Ovis aries: one gene and its partner. The protein of the gene in region 1 purifies or fractionates together with the protein of each later gene. This does not show direct contact. Links are inferred from orthologs where the notes say so. Each region holds a gene or a part of one and is shown in the gene's direction. Other genes may lie near its edges.

What was found. Proteins that work in one complex are often made in the same cells at the same time.
Region 2: the proteins of POC1A (region 1) and NUDC purify together in Homo sapiens (co-immunoprecipitation; 3 studies listed by BioGRID and IntAct, with this or other methods). This does not show direct contact. The link is inferred for Ovis aries from reciprocal best matches to the Homo sapiens genes POC1A and NUDC.

Annotation. Positions count from the first base shown.
Region 1 is NC_056072.1:48,858,058-48,861,557, forward strand, and holds part of POC1A (POC1 centriolar protein homolog A), read left to right. Parts: intron 1-395; coding exon 396-539; intron 540-3,500.
Region 2 is NC_056055.1:240,012,559-240,016,638, reverse strand, and holds the start of NUDC (nuclear migration protein nudC), read left to right. Parts: upstream 1-1,280; 5' UTR 1,281-1,407; coding exon 1,408-1,488; intron 1,489-3,813; coding exon 3,814-3,891; intron 3,892-4,080. UniProt on the Homo sapiens protein: Plays a role in neurogenesis and neuronal migration. Necessary for correct formation of mitotic spindles and chromosome separation during mitosis. Necessary for cytokinesis and cell proliferation.

The DNA of each region.
Region 1 (3,500 bases):
GGAGTGGTCGTTGGGCTAACTAGGAGGAAGGGTGACTTCAGGGTCCAGCATAGACTTCAGGGGCCCTGGACTCTGAGAGGCGTCACACTGAAGGTTACAGGTCTTGTAAAGAGCTGGCAGCCTGTGGCCTCTCATGAGGACGTCGAAGAGCCCAACCTGATATCCCTCTCAGGGCCCTGCAGCCTGGACTGCCAATTACTTTGATTCTGCTCCTTGCTCTCAGTCTCCACTTGGAAAGGAGGGCCCAGAGGTGGAGTCCCGCCCTTGCTCACCAACATTTGGAACTCGTCTTCTCAAGTTTGCTGGTGATTTTCCCCTTGATCCTTTGAGGGGCTCTTCTTTTCCTCATTGTTTCCTTAAGACTAAAGGGCTCTCTTTCCTTTCATCGTCTTCAGCCAGAAGTGGACCCCCTCGTCCCGCCAGGCAGGGGCAGAAGTCAGGAGTCGATGCAGAGCCAATCCCAGGAGCCCGTGAGCATGCCCCAGTCGCTGACCAGCACGCTGGAGCACATCGTGGGCCAGTTGGACGTCCTCACCCAGGTAGGCTGTGACGTGACTCCCCCCATCTGCACTCGGCCTGGCATTCAGGCCATTTGAAGTTGGCCTGCCAGTCCTGGGTTTTTAAAAAAACATAATTATAGTGTACTTACTCTTCAGCCCAAATGAATGAAATGGCAGTGCCTGCCCTGGGATCCTGTCTCTCCAGCCATTCAATCCCTGACCAAGCCATTGGACCCCAAAATCACCAACACTGAATCCTGTCAGGGAGTGCCCACCCAGTGCTGGCTTGGGCCGCAGCAGAGCTCTGAAAGAAGCACTGTCCGTTCATTCGAGTCTTCACTGGGTGGGCACTCTGGGGACATGCAAGAACTGTGCACAGAGAGTCAAGGCGCCAAGAGGCAGCCAGGCTCTGGGTTTGAGCTGGCGCTGCTCCTTGTCCTCCGAGCAGCCTTAGAGATACCCGTGTGGCTCTCCAGGTCCCAGCGTGCTTGTCTGTCACGCATTTGCCATGTCTCATTTGTTTGCGGCAGCAGGTCTTAGTTGCAGCACGCAAGATCTTTAGTTGTGGCATGTGGGATCTAGTTCCCTGGCCAGGAATCGAACCCAGGGCCCCTGCGTTGGGAAGTGCGGAGTATTAGCCACTGGACCACCAGGGAAGTCCCAAGCCTGCCCTGTTTGTGGTCAGAATTAAAGGCGATGAGTCTGCAAGCAGTGTTGGACCTGTGCCTACCCCTGGGTAGCTGCTCCATAAATGTTAGCTGCGGCACTGACCACCCTCATCCCTGAGGCCCATGTGGCCCCCCCTCCACCAGGCGCACACATGTACCTGGCTGCTCATGGACAGCGGTCTGTGCAGTGCAGAGATTTCAGTGAAGCAGAATGCCCTGGCGAGAGGTGGCAGCCAGCACCGTGGGCATACCCAGGGGGCCTCTCGTCCTGGGGCAGAAGAGCAGTTCTGCGCAGGGAGCAGCAGGATGCCTGCAGGCCTGGGCTGGGGGTGGAGGTGGGGACCACGAGCGCATCCAAGCAGTGAGCAGAGTCCAGCACAGCCAGCGTGAGGCATGTAGGTGGCGTGGCGCCTGGGCGACCGCAGGATGTAAAGGTCCTCAGGCTCCTGCCCATCTTGGCTTTGGGTGTAGACCCCTCTCCTGTGCCAGCTCACAGGTAGAGGGAGGGCGTAGGAAGGAGGCAGAGTACCCTTGAATCTCTGATGGAGATGGGGGTGAAGTGGCATGGTGTCTCTTCTGTACCGCTGGCTCCAGGCTAAGTTCTAAGAGCTCCTTCACGTGGCGTCACGTGGTCCACGTGTCACAGGATCCCAGCTAGTACGGCACGGCTTGGACCCACTGCCGGATGGACATTTGAGGGGAAATGTCAGGCGTCAGTGACTAGTGGGGATGGTGAGACTGTATGCGCATCACACTGACATCCCTGAGCGCCCTGAGCCTTGGAAGAGAAGGCCTGTGCTGCGAGGGGGAGAAGCAAAGACTTAGAAAACATTCCCCACCGCAGAGCCGTCAGAAAGCGCCCAGCCTGCCTCGTGTTCTTCACAGCCTCGTCAAGTGAGAGATCAGGGGAGGTGGAATGAATTAGAACTTTATAGGATAAAATTGGAAATCAAGTCTGAGAGGGTGGTTAAAAATAGCCTCATTGCATCCAGAGGAGTATAACACTAAAAACATTTCCTGTCACTGTGTTTTAAAGGCGTACACGGAAGGTTCTGTTATGTGTTAGCAGTCAGGAGTCTGATAGTAACTTCGTAAGAAACTGGCATCCCAGGGAAGAAGTGAGCCTCTCTGCCTTGGCCTGTGGCTGGGCTCACACCTTTCAGCCCCTTTGCAAGTCCAGACAGCGCTGCGCCTGACCAAAGGCCCAGCCCGTCAGCCAGTCACCCACTGTGCTGGGCGGTGTGCGTTCCTGGAAGCTAGAGTGTGGCTTGGGTTCCAAGGTGAAGTCCCCATCGAGGTCTTAGAGTGCAACCTGTTTTCGAAATGGTGTGTGTTGGAGAAGTGTCTGCACTAAATCTCGTGCCACCTTAGGCTTGGTCGTCGGTTGTTTTCCATGCTCACGTCCTCTCCTGGAGTTGAGGCTCTCACTGAGGTGTTCAGCCCCAGCCAGAGCTGCCCCATTCAGGTTGGAGGGTCCCTGGCCCCTCCTTTTAGGACCAGCATGGCCATGGACTATCCTTTCTGGAGGCTCCCCTCAGATGTAGAGCTGGATGACCACTGCCGTCCTTGTTCCTGTGTGGATATCTCAGCCGGGCTCTGCGCCTCCTGTGGGTGCTGCCCCTTGGCAGTGCTTCTCACCATCTGATGCACGCCTGTGCTCTGGAGGAGCTAAGGGTATCTCGGCCACCCCAACACTGACTCGTACTTAGTTCAAAGTCCCCTCTCCCTTACCTCACTGCCCCTCCCCTCCCCCACAAGGAGGTCTACTTCTGAGCAGCCTCTGAGAGGGACAACGGGCTTCTGTCCTGCTGAACATCCTTCAGGGAAGAAGCCTGGGGCTGCAGTGGGCAGTGGCCAGGATGTTTAGTGGAGTCATAGAGTCCCAGGTTACAGCCGGCACCCCGCTGTGGAGGTTCATGGTCCTCAGCCTGCCTTCCTACGGGTGTGACCTGCTGAGTTTATCTGCAGGCCAAACCTCACCTTCCTGAAGGTTACAGTTGGATGCTTTTGCTTAGTGGTCTGTGGTTACAGCCCAGTGGCCCAGCCTCTGAGGCCACTAGCCAGAAAGCACACCCCCTTGTCCTGGCCCTTCTTTGTGTTGGAGAGAACCCCCGCTTTTGCCCATGTAGAGTTGCTGTTTGGGGTTTCACTGCCACTGAGCTCCTCAGGACCTTGATCCCACCTGGCCACCTTACATGTCCCTGTTACCTGTGGGGAGCCGTGGTCTACCCTTGGGTGTCAAGGCTGCTCTGCTCAGTTCAGTGAGCCACTGCCCATTAGCCTGGGCGTACCTGCTCTCCTGGACTTGGGGGCGAGCTCCAGTCACTCATTA
Region 2 (4,080 bases), on another chromosome or scaffold:
CCACATTCTGTCAGACCTCTCCACCATGACCTGCCTGTCTTGGGTGGCCCCATGGGCATGGCTTAGTTTCATTGAGTTAGACAAGGCTGTAGTCCTAGTGTGATTAGATTGACTAGTTTTCTGTGATTATCGTTTCAGTGTGTTTGCCCTCTGATGCCCTCTTGCAACACCTACCATCTTACTTGGGTTTCTCTTACCTTGGACGTGGGGTATCTCTTCATGGCTGCTCCAGCAAAGCGCAGCCGCTGCTGTTTACCTTGGACAAGGGGTATCTCCTCACCGCTGCCCCTCCTGACCTTGAAGGTGGAATAGCTCCTCTAGGCCCTCCTGTGCCAGGGCAGCCACCGCTCCTTGGACGTGGGGTTGCTCCTCCAGGCCACCGCCCCTGGCAAGTCATGGAAAGCGATCAAGTGGAGAAACACGTATACCAATCTTTTCAAGTTTTGGTGTGAAAGAGAATTGAAAATTGGGGTAGTAGGAAGAGAAAGTGGGAGCATACAATAGAAGTGGAGTTAAATGTGAGTTGAAGGGGATAATCCAGAAGAAAGAAAATTGTGATTCAGGAGATTTAGAAAAGAATAATAACAAGAGTAGAATCCCTGAAGAGACTAAGAAGATGAAATTCAATGAAAAAGTAAAGTGGTTGGCCTTCGATGACTGGCACCTGTCCCACACATTAACAGAAGTGAGGTTGAACACATCATTCATTACATAATTTGCCGGGACCAGTGCAAAATGACAATGTGGGCTCTCTTGTTCAAAAATTTCAGATTGCAGCAGAAGAGGATTAATCCAATCACAGAGTCCTTCTAAGTCCGGGGCCCCTGCGACTGCACAATTTATATAGAGCATGTGATGATGACGGAGGTAGACCGCTCTCTGCGCGAGTCCATTCTCCTTTTTTGGGGTCTCGATTGACTCATGGGAGCGTTAGAGTAGATAACTAAGAACATTTCCCACTTCACCCTTCTACAAGCTGGGAAGTCACGGCCAAGGCGTAAGAACAAAGTCTGTGCCTTTTTTTCAGTTCCAACCTAGCCGGATTTGTGCCCAGACCTTTCTGGAAGGCTCCAAAAAGCGTCTGGTGACCATAGCAACTCACACCAAACTCTGGGACCTTCCGTTCCGCCCACCGCTTCAGGAACGCGCTCTTTGATTGGCTCAGCAGGTCGACCAATGGCCGACAAAGCGGGCTATCTGCCCCGTGGTCAATGGCCGCAGGCTCGAAGCGGGGCGGGACGTGAGAGTGAGCGGGTGGGCCTGGGCGGCGCGGCGCCTGCGTGTTTCCGGCTCCGCTGCGGAAGGCGGAGGACTGGAGCCGTTGGACCGGACGCGATCCGAAGGGTCGGGGAGCGCGGGACGCCAGTGCGGAGCTCGGGTTTCGGAGCGTGGTTAGCAGCTGGCACGATGGGCGGGGAGCAGGAGGAAGATCGGTTCGACGGCATGTTGCTGGCCATGGCGCAGCAGCACGAGGGCGGCGTGCAGGAGGTAACGGCCCGCGCGGACTTGGCTGGGCCCGGCCTATCCGGGGGAAGGCCCCAGCCACGCTCTCTCCGTCCTTCTCTGCCTTCGAGAAGCCGAGATACACCCCTGGGCCTCGCGGGCTCTGGGATTCCCCTCCACATTCTTACTGCACTCGAGCTTCCGGTCTGGCCTAGTCGTACCAGGGCTTTCACTCGTACCAGGCCTGGTCCCCCCTGAGACCTCTCAGTAGTTTCTGCCTTTGCAGCTCCGGCGTCGCTGCACCCGCCTCCGGAAAAGCCCCAGAGTTTGGGGATTTACCCCCCTATCCACCACCCCCCTCGCCCCCGCCACATGCTTTCGGCTCCGTTTCTTCGTTGGTGGCCGCCCCCAAAGAGCATCCCTTGGGATGAATCTTTCTAAACATTACGACTTGCCTGTACGGAGACTTGCAGCTAGCGGAAGAATGTGAGAGTGGGAGGCGATATTAACACGTGGTCTTTGAATGGGGGAACAGGAGGCCTATGTTCACGATTGTTCTACAGCGCACCTACCAACTTGGGACCCTTCGACGTCTCCCAGCCTCAGTTTCTTTGTTTGAGACACAGCTAGGAATCCTTATATTTCCTGAATTTGTAGGAGAGTAGTGTCTTGAAGGGAGGGACAGCGAGGAATTCTCAGTAACCAGGCTTGGGCAGTCAACAGGTATTTGTTCGAATGATTGATGTGTGCAGGAACATAATTTCCTGCATAGTGACCAGACCCAGTAACAGAGTGGGTGAAGGATAAGGACCAACTTAGAAGAGGTCCTGGAATTGTTTTGAGCCATGGAAAAGTTCAAAAGGTAGAAAAGCCTGTCAAGATCTGTCTTCTTATTAAAGACACTGAAGGAACTTGCCCAAGATCATCCAACAGGCTCCTGACCTGGAGGGGACCAGCATCCTTAGGCCAGTGTGTGCTTTCCACAGACCATTTCAGGTTCTGTGTCTCTCTGGGATAAAAGTTTGGAGCTTTCCATTCTGGTTCTCATTCAGGTGGGTACCCGTGGTGACCAAGGACTCCTAAGCCCTTTGAGGTCGGAAGAGTACTATTTGAGGATGTGAAAGGCTCCCTCTCCCCGCCCTTCCCCAAATTGTTGACACAACTGGATTTGGAGGGTATTCATTTTTGAGCAAACTGAAAAAATTGTGTAGAAGCAGGAATTGAAGCCATTGAGATAAAATCTAGCATCGGATTTAGAACCACTCTCTTGGGCAAATAAAAGGGCTTAGTTGTAGATGCTAACCTTAGGTCACCACTAGATCGTTTCGTTCATCAGAATGTTTATTGAGCATGTACTCGGAGTCAGGTCTGGTGCTGGGCGCTGAGGATGTTCATGGTGCATGCAATATGTACTTCAGTCTCCCACAGAGTGTCTGTTGCTCTGGACCAGACACTGCTAGGGACCTCACCCCCTTTACTTCCTTTGGTTCTCACAAAGGATCCTCACGTATATCCCTGGAAATAGGTCCTGCTGCTGTTTCTCCTTTGTGGAGTTAAGAAACTTTCCTAAGGTCACAGAGCTCATGTCTGTCAGTCTTGATACCCAGACTGATGTTCTTAAACCACTTGGCTACCCAGCCATAATTAGTTGGTCTGAACTTTCTTTCAAATGGCTTCATTTGTTCCCTTTCTTCTAGCTCTGCCCTAGTAACTCAGCCAGTGCCACTCTGGATGGGTTTTTTACCATGTGAAGAGGAAGGGTGGGCCCCAAGTGTTTCAAACCCTAGATGCCCATATCCTCAGGCTGCCTGCAGCACCACAAAAAAATGTGAAGTATATATACACGTGCACACGAGACAGTGAGAAATCTGGGACTTCCTGGTGGTCCAGTGGTTAAGAATCGGCCTGCCAGTGCAGAGGACATGGGTTCGATCCCTTGTCTGGGAAGGCCCCACGTGTCATGGAGTGCCTAAGGTTAAGCCTGTGTGCCGCAGCTACTGAGTCCATGCCTGAGAGTCTGTGCTCCCCAAGAGAAGCTGCTGCAGTGAGAAGCCTGTGCACCACAATGAAGAGCAGCCCTTGCTCACCACAGCTTGGAGAAAGCCTGTGTGTCACAATGAAGACCCTGTGCAGCCAAAAATAAAAAGAAATGAGAAATCTGCCTTTCAGGTGATCTGGGTAAAGTTAGTTTAGGCTTCCTGGCAGGAGTGACAAAGCCTGGGCCTGTAGGGGGATGTGTCCTCAGTTGAGAGGCCAGGGGTGAAACAGTCTAGTCCCAGGTTCCCTCCTAGCCTAAGAGAGTTCGCTTCTGTGCAGTTGAAGGGCCCCCAATATGGCATCTCTCCAGCCTCTGTCTTTGTCTCCTTTCAGCTGGTGAACACTTTCTTCAGCTTCCTTCGACGCAAAACAGACTTCTTTGTTGGAGGAGAAGAAGGCATGGCAGAAAAGGTGAGTGATGGGGGCCAGTGTCCTTTGGGCAGCTCTGTTTCTCCAGAAGAGCTGACCTGGCCTTCTTTGGCATACTAATAACTGTTAGCAGAAGTAAAATGCCAGGGGCAAAAAGTCGGGGAAGGGAAGCAAGCCATCCTTTATTAAAGCCCCTCACCTCGCCAACTGCATTACCTACTCTATTCCACA